Canis lupus familiaris: one gene and its partner. The protein of the gene in region 1 binds, or shares a complex with, the protein of each later gene. Links are inferred from orthologs where the notes say so. Each region holds a gene or a part of one and is shown in the gene's direction. Other genes may lie near its edges.

Region 1 (6,837 bases):
TTTAGATTGGAAAGGAATGAGAAACATGATTTATTTCTTCCTGGGAAAACAAAACACCACCCTGGCAAAAAAAAAAAAAAAAAAAAAAACTAAGAGTGTTGAACAGGAGGTTTCAACTCCTCTGTCTGATTTTTGTCTCAAGTCTGTTGCTTGCAAAGTGTTGTGTTTAGAAACTTTCCATTCTTAATTATGTTAAAGAATTTTCCAGAGGAGAGGACTGTTATACTTATGCTTCAGGCTACTATACAGCAGTGAGGCTAGATTCGTTTTTCAAGCTGGTATAAATGAAAACAGAAATGTACAAAGATTTTGGCTAAAATCTGACATCCTTGTAGGAAAAGCACTGAGACTTTGGTACAGAAATAGAGTGGTTCCTCCCCCCCCCTACAATGGAATCACACTTAAATTTGTTGAATATTTTGTAACAGTTTTCTGTGGTTTTACTATAATCCTGATTTCCCTTGGTGAATAAAGTTTTGAGGTATTGGCAATTGTTTATCTTGAAGAAGCTTTTTATTGACTGCTCACCATGTGGAAACACCGGTGCTGGGTTCTGTGAGGCATATGAAACTCATTCAAACAAGATTCCCGCCTTTAGAAAGCATGTAGTCCAGTAGGAGCCAACCACGCACACATTCCTATAGGCTACCATATGACTTTCATGCTCTGGTTCCCATTCCTCATAGGGCTGACAAATCTATCTAAAACAAACAGCATCTTCTCTAAAATGAGATTTTGTACAGAGTGCTGCCAGCTGTGCCTTTAGAAGGCTCATTTGTAGGGTATTCTTTTATTTTAAAGTTGATATCAGTAACTACCTATCAGTTCTTTATTTTTGCTTTCTGAGAGAACTTCAGGAGGGAAAAGGCACTTTTTTTTTGTTCTTTGCAGTTCTTTAGTTGGTGAGGAAAATAAAAACCCGTGAGCAAGATGAAGTTAAGTGTTTCTTAAAAAGCATAAGTCTACTTCAGTAGAAGTTCATATATAGGATGTTTCATTTATATGTTTATGTAGTTAAAATTCAAGTGGATAATGTAACATTTTATGAGCCCTTTCCATGCACTGGGACTTGAGGAAAGGTTTGTTAATTCCTACTGGTAATCTTAAATGCTTTTGTTGTGGGGTAGATGGTCCACTTGAACTCAAGACCACCAGAAGCAGCAGCTCTTGAATGCTCTTAATAGACTTATAGTTGCAAGAAAGCAGCAGCTAAGAATCTATTTTTTAAAAGATTTTATTTGAGAGAGAGAGCACGTGTGCGTGCGTGCACACACACGAGCCAGGGCAGAGTGGTGGGGGGAGGGAGGGGGAGGGGGAGTGGCAGAGGAAGAGGGAGAAGCAGACTGACTCCCTGCTGAGCAGGGAGCCCTATGTGGGGTTTCATCCCAGGACTCCAGGATCATGACCTGAGCTGAAGGTGGACGCTTAACCTACTGAGCTCCCCAGACACCCTAAGAATATATTTTCTCGTGTGCTTATTAACAGTGCTTTATTTGTGTGGTTCTGGTGCGATGTGGTAGGAGACAAGATGAACAGGCACCCTTATAAGGGAGGTTTACCCTGTAAGTTAAAATAGAATCTTGGAAGCACAAAGAACTATCTTAGAACACTTAGTCAATGAAAGGGCTATCTCTCTCTCCATGACAGCATTTCTGTAAATAGGCATCTATGCAAAACCCAAAGCAGAAGGCTCTGGTCAGTACACTCATGATGCCCGTGCAGGACAGAGGAATGAGCAGTGTCTGATTGCATATATGTCAGAGGACTTTTCCTGCCCGTACAGCTGCTGTTATTGGGGATTCCCGGTCCTCCTTCCCTGCTTCCCCTCCCCTCTGCTCCAGCACAGTCCTACTGCTGCCCGCCATTCTCAGCCCTTTCCTCAAGCTGAAAGCAGGGCCGCCCTGTAGCAGTGGCTGCAGTCTTGGTGATCTAACTTTAATCCGTTTTGACTTTTTAAGATTTTGTAGGCCTCAGACAAGACTACTTTTTTTTAAGTAAAACTTTTTTCGGTATGTTGGCTTGTCAAAGCAAGAAATGTGATTTCTCAGGGTTTGTATTTAAAGGGGGCAAACCTGTTTTAATCATGTGTATGTTTGCAGGATGATCCATTGGTGCTGAATGAAATCAGAGAAGACCTTCGAGTAGAGTGTTCAAAGTTTGGACAAATTAGGAAGCTTCTTCTCTTTGATGTAAGTTCGTGGCTTAGACAAATGATTCCTAAAGCCAAGCATTCTTTCCCTTTGAGAAGTTATTCCCAGAGGTCAGTATGCCACAAATTTTGGATTAATGTTTTTCTATAGTAGGGCTGCTATCTAGTAGTAGTCATCTGTCAGCAGTAGTTAGATGAACATGGATTGTAAGTCAGGGCTTGCTAGACTTGGTATGCCTTGGTGATTTCCCTTTATTGCCCTAGAGTGTGTGATCAGATGAAAGGAGTACAAGAAAGACGTGTGAGATCTTGTGGTTCCCTATTTGCCCCCATTTACCCCTCTTGGTGAATTACTCTCCTCCTCCATATTTGAAGAAAAATCAAGCAAAATATTCTTCTCTATGTTCCCCTTCTTACTCTGTTACTTCCTAGATTGACACATACTAAAAGATTCACCATTTATTGATTGCATACGGGCTACTTTACATGTTACCTCATTTAGTTCTCATGATCTTTTGAGGTAGGTGGGTACTATTCTACCCATTTTACAGATGAGGAAGCTCGGAGTTTAGAGATTGAGTGAGCACCTTGCTCAAGGTCATTTAGCTGCTAAGTGGTAGAAGCATTTCCAAGAACATCATGCTTGGTTCTTGATATACAAGATTAAGCTAAAGAAGCAGCTAGCTTTGGGGTGCCTAGGTGGCTCATTTGGTTAAGTGACTGCCTTCGCTTGGGTCATGATTCCAGGGTCCTGGGATCGAGCCCTGCATCGGGCGCCCCTCTCAGTGGGAAGTCTGCTTTTCCCTCTGCCCCTTCCCCAGCTCGTGCTTTCTCTCACTATCTCTCTCTCTCTCTCTCTCTCTCAAATAAATAAAATATTTTTTTTTTTAAAGAAGCAGCTAGCTTCAAGTCACTGGCTGGAGTAAAAAGGAAGAATGGCTTCATACATAAAATCTTGAAGCTTAAGTTATCAAAGAACTCCACTACATACTTATTTTGTCAAATGTGTATGTTTTATTTTTAGTTTTATCATTCATTGCTGCCTTTTCTTCCCTTTCTAGAGACACCCCGATGGTGTGGCCTCTGTGTCCTTCAGGGATCCGGAGGAAGCTGACTATTGTATACAAACTCTTGATGGAAGGTGGTTTGGTGGCCGTCAAATCACTGCCCAGGCGTGGGATGGGACTACAGATTATCAGGTAAATTCTGCAACTATCAAGGGCACATAAATTGTAACATTACCAACAAATGCTGATCTAGTGGTTCTTCAGATGAGTTTTGGGCTCAGTTTAATCTGTTTAATGTAACAGTTCTTCTAAATAATACTTTGCATCCAGAGCATAGAAAGAAAAATGTTTTAGTTTTTCAGTTTATAAGCCTGAAATTTTGAGGTGTGCTCAGAATAGTGGTAAGTAAAGGATGGAGAGCATTCAAGTATTAACTTTTTCTTTGATTTCTTTATTTAACAATTCTGCAGGACTGTGGTGTTGGGCTTTTGTTTAAATGATCTTAAGCTCAACTCCCATTAATCAAGATGTAAAATTTTGAAAACTGAATATAGGGAAATGCTCTGATTTCCTAAGAAGAGATGCTGTATGAAATCAGGGTATTTGTGTCAGTATCAGAAGTGTGCAGAGAAGTTATTTATTTTTGCCTAAAACTCATTTTAATAGCAATTCCCCTTTCTCCACAGGTGGAAGAGACCACAAGAGAAAGGGAGGAAAGGCTGAGAGGATGGGAGGCTTTCCTTAATGCTCCCGAGGCTAACAGAAGCCTTCGGCGTTCAAATTCCATCTGTGCTTCGGAAAGGGCGGGGCCTTCTAGGGTAAGGCATTTTTCAGAGCGCCCTAGCACATCGAAAATGAATGCACAAGAGGCCACAAGGGAAATGGCATTTGAAGAACCCATCGATGAAAAGAAGTTTGAAAAAACCGAAGATGGGGGAGAATTTGAAGGAGATGCTTCGGAAAAAGATGCCAAAGAAAGTGGTCCCGAGAAAGAGGCTGAGGAAGGCTGCGCCCAGAAAGAATCTGAAGAAGGCTCCCTCAAAACAGAGTCTGAGGAAGGCTGCCCCAAGAGGGAGCGTGAGGAAGACTACCCAGAGAGAGAGTCTGGAGAAGGCAGCCCTGAAAAAGAGTTTGAAGAGGGCGGTCCTAAAGCAGAGTCTAAAGAGAATGGCCCTGAACAAGAATCCAAAAAGAAGAGGCTCAAAAATGATTATGAAGAGAACGGTCTTGAAAAGGATTCTGACCAAGATGGCCCCAGCAAGGAGTGTGAAGAGGAGAGCCCTCAAAAGGAGTCTGAAGAGGATGACTCGGAAAGGGAATCCGAAGAAGACTTCTCTGAAAAGCAGTTTGAAGACGGCTCTGAGAAAGAATTTGAAGAAAATGGCCTTGAGAAGGATTTTGATGAGGATGCCTCCGACAAGGAGTTCGGCGAGAACATTCTCGACAGGGAGTTTGAAGACAATGACTCTGACAAATCAGAATTTGGAGATAGCAGCTCTGAGAGAGTGTTTGAGGAGGAAGTCTCAGAGAGGGAGTTTGACGAAGAGTCTGATGACAAGGAAGAAGGGGAGGACACCTACGAAAAGGTATTTGATGATGAGTCAGACGAAAGAGAGGATGAAGACTATGCAGATGAAAAGGGGCTTGAAGACGTTGATGAGAAGATGTTCGAAGACTCGGATGACAAAGAAGATGAGGAAGGAGTAGAGATAAAGGAAGGTGAGGACGTGGATGATAAGATGTTTGAAGAGGATGATTCCAACGGGAAGCTGTTTGATGATGACGATGAGGATTCCAGTGAGAAGCTGTTTGACGACTCTGATGAGAGAGGGACAGTGAGGGGTGTGGGCAACGTGAAGGAGGAAGGGCCCCTGTCCACAGGCAGTAGCTTTGTCCTCAGTAGCGACGACGATGTCGATGATGACATTTAATCCCTTAAACTTGCTTTGTAGGGAGCTTCCTCCATCTGCATTCTGCCCGTGCTCCAGGGTAATTGCTAGTAGTGTTACATGAACGTGTGCCTAGTGGTAGGATGCCAGCAGAGTAATGCATTGAAGTTTTCACTGTCACCTGTACTTAATGATTTTAAATCTGTGTTAATTGGCTGTTCAGGTAAAACTTCATAGTATAATGCAAGTCAGCTGGATACTTGTCCTTTGTCCAATTTGTTAAGTGCATGCAGAATAATATTTTTTAAAGTATTCTGATTGAAGTTTGTGATATTCAAAAATAAAAATAAGTTGTTAATATGCTGAAACTGAAGAATTGGACTTGGCGTTACATTGCATTTGAAATTCTTGCTGTTGCTTCATTCATACTCAAGTGTGGTGTTTGTGAGGACTTGAAAAAGCCTTTTAGGAGTCTTCTTGCTCCCCACTGCCCTTAGCACTTAACATCCCCATTTCCCCTCCCTAACCCAGAACATGTTACTAAACTTATAAAGTAAATAACACTCTGGAGTTTTTCCCTGCCTAGTCCTTGCAAGTTACTTTCATTTGTTTTCTTTTCCACCCTCTGTCCCTGTGGAAACTGACTCTGAAATGTGCGAAAGTGAACTTCCTGAAGTCGCGGCTTTCGTTTTTGGAAATATGGAGGAGATGAGAATTCTCTTGTGTACTGCTTGGGTACCTTTTTAGAAGCTGATTGAAATCATTGGAGCTTTCCCCAGAAAGATGTAAGCACACACTACACAGCTTTTTTGTATACACTTCCCAGAGGTTCATGGATCCCTAGAGTTTAAGATCTATTGTGTCCTGCATATTTCGATTTTTTGTTCTAGATTCATGATGCCTAGTACTGTGCTGAGTTGTGTAGTCCGAATAAAAATTGGAGTCTTTCTTGATTGTGCTTTCCAAATTGAGTATTGGTGAAATGACTTCTGATGTAGAATTAAGAAGTAACTCTCGTGAATTAGAAGCATTAAAATAAACTGCATTGGTGCTTTTTCATTATACTGTCTGTAAGTGTAATCATTAACCCTCTTCAGACAAAAAAAAAAAAAAAAGTGTTCTTATATTTCACGCCAAAGCTGAGAATTTTGTAGTCGCTGGGATTTCTTAAAATCTCAGGATTTTCACCAGGGGTAAGTCCATAAAAGAGCTAAAGAAACTAAAATATAGAAAAGTTGCAGACCAAACTAGTGCTCCTTTAAAGGTAAGCCAGAAGCATTTAAACGTCCCATTTATTGGAGGATTGATTTCCTGAGCGGCAGGCTGCTGCTTCTCTTCATATACAATGGCTGGAACACATAACTAGAACACAGACAAGCTCCAAGACCGTTAGAAGGGGGCTGTTTTCTTTCTGACTTCTTTTCTCCCCTGCTCATTAATTTGGCTGATATCAAACACACTCTTTTTATATAAACACCCTGGAAGCAAAGGTCACAAATAGCTGTAAAAATGGTAAATCATTTGTGAGGTGATTTTGACAAGACATTAAGGCTCATGAAGCGCGCGCACGCACACACACACACACACACACACACACACACGCACATACACAGTCACCTGTTTACTAAGTCGGGTTTTATTGGTCCTGGCAGAGTTTATTGCAAGGCAACAATATGTCCTGGTAGCAAAAGAAGAACAATACAGGGATGGGTTTTAAGCACAGCAATGCTTAACTACCTGACAAAGTCTAAGCTTAATGTTCCTTAAGGCTATGTTGCTTACTTAACACATC
Region 2 (7,412 bases), on another chromosome or scaffold:
TCTATACCCCAGGGTATTCCCAAACTCCTGCTGGGAACTCTGCTAACCCACAGCTGTCTGTCTGGGACTGGGATTTACGCTATAGCAGTGAACAGATCCTACAATTCCATAATCCTGGCTATGACCCGGAACACTGCCCGGATTCCTTGCTCCCTAGGCAGCAGGTGAAGTGTCTACATTTCCTAAATTCCCTTGATTTTTTCATAGGCTCATCCTACTAGATAGGGAGAAGTGGAAAGACACAGTGTCTGAGTTCTCTAGGGAAAGCTGCCCCACACTTCTGTAGCTGTTACTTAGAGTCCCTGACTATCCCCAGGAAAGCAGAAATCCTAGAATAGCACAGAAGGGATCCTTCTTGTCCACATCTTTATTAGTTTTTCTACCTCTTACACACATTTAAAAAAAAAGATTTATTTGAGAGAGAGCGTGCATATGTGTGTGCCAGCCGAGGTGGCGGGGGGCAGACTCCCCATTGAGCGAGGAGCTCCATGTGGGTCTGGATCTCACAACCCTAAGATCATGACCTGAGCCAATATCAAGAGTTGGATGCTTAACTGACTGAGCCACCTAGGCACCCCTCTTATACACATTTTACAAGTTTCCCTAAAATTGACTTTAATCAGACCTGATGCTTAGTTTGAAGCCTATGAGGAGAGTAGATGGGGGAAGGCCTGTAGTTTGATCACTAATGCAGTTTGAGTAGGTGGAAGCTAGACATTCTTTCCTGACCTTTGGGGAAGGGGAGTCAGAGGTTTCTAGGTTGCAGTTGATTTCTTTTTTCCCTTTAGCCAAGCTTCATGGTTCCTGGACCCCCAAATTCTGTGTGGCTCTTCTCCAGAGGGGCCCTGACCCCACTGAATCAGCTCTGTCCTTGGCGGGACAGCCCCTCCCTGCTGGCAGTCTCTTCTCGTTGGCTCCCTAGACCTGCTATCTCCTCTGAAAGCCTGGCTGATCAGGAGTGGGGGCTCCCCTCACATTGGGGAGCTTGCCCTTTACCCCCGGGATTGCTGCTGCCTGGATATCTGGGACCCCAGATCAAGCTGTGGAGACGCTGCTACCTGAGGGGAAGGCCTGAGTTCCAGGTGAGGAGGGAGGACAGGGATTGGGAGTAGGAGAAGGGGCTTGACTGCTAAACCAGATGTTCTGGGAGAAACCAGATGTTTTTAGGAGCTGGAAAAACAAGGAGCTGGGGGGACTGAGGAGTGAATTATCATTCCTGTTGGTATCACAGTGGATAGGTTTAGGAGTGTGTGTGTATGTGTGGGATAGACTACTTGTGGTTCAGATCAAGTAGAGCCTAGAACATAGTTGGAGGGGGAAAGAGAATTAAAGACGCCAGAGGTGATGGGAACTAGATTTATGGGGATCACTTTGTAATGTATAAAAATATCAATTTTTTTGTATAAAAATTGTTTAAAAGTGTAATTTTATAAAATTTTATTAAAGTATTAAAAAATCACTAGGATGTGCACCTAAAACTAACAGGACATTGTATGTCAGTTATAATAATAATAAAAAAGATGCCAGAAGTAGTGGACACATCTCAGAAATAGGGAGCTAGAGCTATAATAATATTCCTCTCTGCCTCTCTTCACCCCCTTCTCAGAAAGGCCTCTCAGCTCCCACAATCTCTGGCCTCCAGGATGAGCTATCCCATCTTCAGGAGCTTTTAAGGAAATGGACACCAAGAGTATCTCCTGAGGATCACTCCAAGAAAAGAGATCCAAATACCATTCTTTCCCAGTCCCGTTGAAATTGTTGTCTTTTTTATGGGCATGGCAGAGGGGGTCCGGGGTGAGGGAAGGTTCTGTCTAATCCTCCAATTTTTCTTATCTTGGTCTTGCTGTCTCAGCTTTTGACACTCCAGCCCTCAACAAGCTCACTGACCTTTCTGTTGCAGATGGGTGGTGCTAACCTTCTCCAACTCTTGCCCTGTCCTGTTTCATTCTCGAGATATGTTTCTCATGATTTGAGGAATTAAGAAACAAAAGCAATCCAGAATACGATTACCTTTGTTCTTTTCAGGGCAATTCCATCCCTCTGGATACCCAGCCGATAAGCTGTGAGATGAGAGATGCTGTTCATCAGTTCAAAGGAGATGGCCTACAGAACTCATTCTCACCTCCTCTTGCTGCTTAATTCCAATTTCTGTTTCTTCCCTCTGGTTTTCTATGGGTATGCTAGTGGGTATGGGACACATCCTGTCTCTCCCAATTGTATATTTTGTAGTGACATTTCTATTTAACGAGTTCATTAAAGTACAGTTGCTGGCATTATCTCTGGTGTCTGAATAAAAGATCCTAAGTAAAAAAGCGATGATAAACCGGGAGAAGAAGGGACCCACCATATTATTGTTCAGGAAATATGGAGATAGGTCAGGCTGTCCACACTAATCGTTTCGTAAGATGGGGCAAAGAGCATGCAAAGACATGGTTGGTGGGCCCGGGGTATTCTGGCGGTTGAAACTGAGGCCCCTGGGCTGCAATGTCAGGTACCCTCAGCTCTGGGCACACATCATCTCTGAGCCTCAGGTTTCCATCTCCCCCATGCAACAGGATCATGTGAGCTCCGACGCCACTCCAGCTCAGACACTCCGCAATCCTCTCCCCAGAAGCCGCGGGCCACGGTGGAGGGCTGCCTCCGCACCCTAAGGCAGCCGAATCCTTGGGTTGGAGGGTTTCCTCAGCACACCCTTCTCCGGGGAACAAAAGGATAGTTTGCCAACAAAATATTTCTAAATAAAGTTTTGTTCTTTTAGCTTTTGAGTTTACATTTTTAGGAGTACTGTGATCCTTTAACGTCCAGCACTGCCTTAAGAGGGTCTGGGCATTTCCGTTCGGCCCTCATCGCTTTGACCGCTAGCAGCGGCAAATCCGCGCAGAACCACGGACCGGAGAACGCGGCCCCACAAGCCGCATCAAGTCTCCGCAACTCCTAAGATGGCCGGGGCCTCTTCCGGCTCCTCCCCCATCAGGCCCCGCCCACCGCCCTCGTGACTACCTTCGCCCCGGAAGTGGAAGTACTGACTGAGGTCAGAGGGCGGGATCGCTGCCTGGAGACGGCGGGAGCTCTTTCGCCATGGCGGCCGGCCCGATCTCCGAGCGGAACCAGGGTAGTTGGAGGGGATGAGGCCAGGGAGGCTGGGAGGCCTCGAGGAAGGCCAGCCGTGTTTTCGCCGGGGCAGGAGATCGGATCCCCCCGGAGGGCGCGAACCCGGCCCCCGTGCCGGCTGGGGGTGGGGTGGCCGGGTGCAGGCTGAGGCCTGTGGTTGTGATGCTCTGTCCAATCTCCTGCGCCTTCCCATTCAAAAAAACAAAACAAAACAAAAACCCAAACGAAAACCAAAAACAAAGCAATTCACAGAGAATTTGCAGCAGAACCTTCAGTTAGACTTAAGAAGGTTCTTTAGTTCTGGAATGAGAGAGATGTAAGGGCTTACTCTCACGTCTTTTTCCTTTTTTGTTCCTATATCCCATCTCCACTCCCAGTTCCCCCGCCTGTCACTTCCTTCTTTCCCGTCGTTGTCTCATCCCTGCCATAATCTGCTCATTTCTCTTAGATGCCACTGTCTACGTCGGGGGACTGGATGAGAAGGTTAGCGAACCCCTGCTGTGGGAGCTTTTTCTCCAGGCAGGGCCAGTAGTCAACACCCACATGCCAAAGGATAGAGTCACAGGTCAGCACCAAGGTGAGTACATCACAAGAGGCGTGTTTATGCATTGAGGGGACAAGCTGCTCCTGGAGGGTTCCGGCAGTATTCATAGGCAGTATTCATAGCCGTTTTGGAATCACCTGTAGATTCTTCCTTTTAAGTGTCATTCAATGTTTGCTTCTGGAACCATTCCCAGTTGAAGTGAGGTGGTTATTTCATGTTCTTTGTGCTTTGGAAGGTGCATGAGTTACACACGAAATTGAATCACTTCACTTAAGTTAATCTCTGCTTTTCTACTTCCCAGGCTATGGCTTTGTGGAATTCCTGAGTGAGGAAGATGCTGACTATGCCATTAAGATCATGAACATGATCAAACTATATGGGAAGCCAATACGAGTGAACAAGGCATCGGCTCACAACAAGAACCTGGACGTGGGGGCCAACATTTTCATTGGCAATCTGGACCCAGAAATTGATGAGAAGCTGCTTTATGATACTTTCAGCGCCTTCGGGGTCATCTTACAAACCCCTAAGATTATGCGGGACCCTGATACAGGCAACTCCAAAGGTTATGCCTTTATTAATTTTGCTTCATTTGACGCTTCGGATGCAGCTATTGAGGCCATGAATGGGCAGTATCTCTGTAATCGCCCCATTACTGTGTCCTATGCCTTCAAGAAGGACTCGAAAGGGGAGCGCCACGGCTCAGCAGCTGAACGACTTCTAGCAGCCCAGAACCCACTCTCCCAGGCTGACCGCCCTCATCAGCTGTTTGCAGATGCACCCCCTCCGCCTTCAGCCCCCAATCCTGTCGTATCATCATTGGGGTCTGGGCTCCCGCCACCAGGTAAAGCTTTTATTCAAAGTATTTTTGTCTTGGGCTTGGGGTGTGGTGGTGAGCGGGGGCAAGGGGAGGAGAAAAGAACTTGATAAAGGGGGACATGGAGTCAGTAGGTGATGAGAAAGAGAGTGAGGGGTGACAGTTGTGGGGAGAAAGTTGTTGAGTTGAAGAGGCTGAAGTTGTTCCTAGTTATCTAGTATTGCTTCTGATTTTAGAGAGCTGGGAGGAAGGGAAGAGAACTTATCCTGCCTGAGGAGGCCAGATTGAACGGGCTTTCTAAAGACATTCTCTCCTTACTATCGTTAACTTGTCTTTCATTTCCTCTATAGGCATGCCTCCTCCTGGGTCCTTCCCACCCCCGGTGCCGCCTCCTGGAGCCCTTCCACCCGGGATACCCCCAGCCATGCCCCCGCCACCTATGCCTCCCGGTGCTGGAGGACACGGTCCACCATCAGCAGGAACCCCAGGGGCTGGACATCCTGGACATGGACACTCGCATCCTCACCCATTCCCACCAAGTGGGATGCCCCATCCAGGTGAGTGTTCTTTGCTGGGGAAAAGGATAGATAAGCTTGTTGGAGGAGCTCCACTGCCACATGCAGTGCTGCCCTCATCCCTCAGCAGTAATAGTAGATAGTCCCGGAGCTCTGCTTTTTTTTCAGACATTCTTTTATAAAAACAAACACGAGACACTGTTCTCTGTTTACTTTAACAGCTACCACCCTGTCTCCATTTATTATACAAGTTTTTCCAAAGAGTGTAACTGTACTCGTTTGCTTTTTCCTTTAACTTTTACTTCATTTTTCTCCTCCGACTTCTACCCCAAAGCAGTGACCTAATTGCCAAATAGAGGGGGCACTTCCATTCTTTACCTGGTTTGCCATTTGGTGTACTTGAAACTGGGTGTGTTGTCCTTTTTGAAAAGCTTGCCTCTTGGTGTTTCTGGATTTTTCATCTGTCTCAGACTCCTTAAAGTTAGCCACATTAGGGATCCCTGGGTGGCGCAGCGGTTTGGCGCCTGTCTTTGGCCCAGGGCGCGATCCTGGAGACCCGGGATCGAATCCCACATCGGGCTCCCGGTGCATGGAGCCTGCTTCTCCCTCTGCCTGTGTCTCTGCCTCTCTCTCTCTGTGTGACTATCGTAAATTAAAAAAAAAAAAAAAAAAAAAGTTAGCCACATTAGTAGGCTTTTCTCCCTCTCCATGTAGCTGGGTTTTTGTATCTGGTTCTCTTTTCTTTTTTTTTTTTTAATTTTTATTTATTTATGATAGTCACACAGAGAGAGAGAGAGGCAGAGACACAGGCAGAGGGAGAAGCAGGCTCCATGCACCGGGAGCCCGACGTGGGATTCGATCCTGGGTCTCCAGGATCGCGCCCTGGGCCAAAGGCAGGCGCAAACCGCTGCGCCACCCAGGGATCCCTCTGGTTCTCTTTTCTTCATAGTTCCCTTACTTGTACACTGATGCCACCCAGATGTGGATATCTGGTCTGTGACCCTTAATCCCACTGCCTGATGGACAGCTCCACTTTGCTAACCTCCCCTTCACACCTGTTGTTCCTCTAGCATTCTTTGTTTTCAGATTCTTAATTCAGAAATCTGGGACCTATTTTTAACTGTTTCCTATCACTCCTGTACTAGATATCAAATCTTACTAATATATCTGGTATTGGCTCTCACTGCTAGTGCCCTAGTGCAGGCCCCCTCATACTCATTTCACACCTAATTTATTGTAGTGATTTTCTAACATTTTGACTTCAATTTCTCTTTGATCCACTTGCACAGAGTAATTTTTCTAAAACACAATGTTCACACACTTTTGCTCAAAATTCTATTGTTGCTCTCTTTTACGTACAGCATAAAACCCAGACTTGTCACCATAGCATTGTAGGCTGTTTGTGATTGGTGCCTGCTAGTTACACCCATGACTACATGCTGCTCTTTATTTCTGAGTTACCAGTTTTCTCTGAACATACATCCCTGTTTGATGCCCTTGTGGTTCTCACATGCTAATATTTCCTGCTTGGGGAAAATTCTGTTCCATGCTCTTGTCCACCCGAAAAATTCTTATTCGTTCTCTAGAATTAGATCTTTGCTCAGACAATGTTTCTGCTACTTTCCCGAATTCTGTCAGTGAAATAATCACTCCATTTGTTACATAATTCTGCAGCACTGTTATACTGTCTAAATTGTGGAAGGAGCAAGCAAAGTGGGCAAGCAGTTGATTGGGTGGGTAGTTGATCTGCTTGTACCCTTGGAATGAGGATGAGGGTGGAGGGCGCTTTGTACCAGCCTTATTTTCCATACTCCTCTTTTTTTTTTTTTTTTTTTTAATTTTTTTTTTAATTTATTTATGATAGTCACAGAGAGAGAGAGAGAGAGAGGCAGAGACACAGGCAGAGGGAGAAGCAGGCTCCATGCACCCGGAGCCTGATGTGGGATTCGATCCCGGGTCTCCAGGATCGCGCCCTGGGCCAAAGGCAGGCGCCAAACCGCTGCGCCACCCAGGGATCCCTCCATACTCCTCTTTTCCTGATGTCACTTCTTTCTCAGTTTTGTTCTCTTCCTTTCTCCATTTTCTTTGCTCTCTGTATTCCTTGTCTCCTTGCTATTTATGTCTGTTTTGTTCTCACAGGGATGTCTCAGATGCAGCTGGCCCACCATGGCCCTCATGGCCTAGGACACCCACATGCTGGGCCCCCAGGCTCTGGGGGGCAGCCACCACCCCGACCACCACCTGGAATGCCTCATCCTGGACCTCCTCCAATGGGCTTGCCCCCTCGAGGGCCTCCGTTTGGATCTCCCATGGGTGAGTAGGCTCTAGCCATTTCCCTCATCCTGAGTATCATAGTCTTGTAGCTTCCTTTGTCACATCCCTGTTTCCTGCCCTTTATTTACACTTGTGCTCACGGCCTCCCTGT

What was found. The genes of interacting proteins can lie anywhere in the genome.
Region 2: HTATSF1 (region 1) and SF3B4 share a complex: the UniProt entries of both Homo sapiens proteins name them as parts of the 17S U2 SnRNP complex. The link is inferred for Canis lupus familiaris from reciprocal best matches to the Homo sapiens genes HTATSF1 and SF3B4.

What each region holds. Positions count from the first base shown.
Region 1 is NC_049260.1:107,813,275-107,820,111, forward strand, and holds the end of HTATSF1 (HIV Tat-specific factor 1), read left to right. Parts: intron 1-2,099; coding exon 2,100-2,189; intron 2,190-3,210; coding exon 3,211-3,348; intron 3,349-3,842; coding exon 3,843-5,087; 3' UTR 5,088-6,107; downstream 6,108-6,837. UniProt on the Homo sapiens protein: Component of the 17S U2 SnRNP complex of the spliceosome, a large ribonucleoprotein complex that removes introns from transcribed pre-mRNAs.
Region 2 is NC_049238.1:59,866,217-59,873,628, reverse strand, and holds the start of SF3B4 (splicing factor 3B subunit 4), read left to right. Parts: upstream 1-2,955; 5' UTR 2,956-3,078; coding exon 3,079-3,112; intron 3,113-3,559; coding exon 3,560-3,688; intron 3,689-3,956; coding exon 3,957-4,499; intron 4,500-4,822; coding exon 4,823-5,029; intron 5,030-7,126; coding exon 7,127-7,300; intron 7,301-7,412. Other genes in the region: MTMR11 (myotubularin-related protein 11), read left to right, coding at 1-164, 789-1,082, 1,607-1,753. UniProt on the Homo sapiens protein: Component of the 17S U2 SnRNP complex of the spliceosome, a large ribonucleoprotein complex that removes introns from transcribed pre-mRNAs.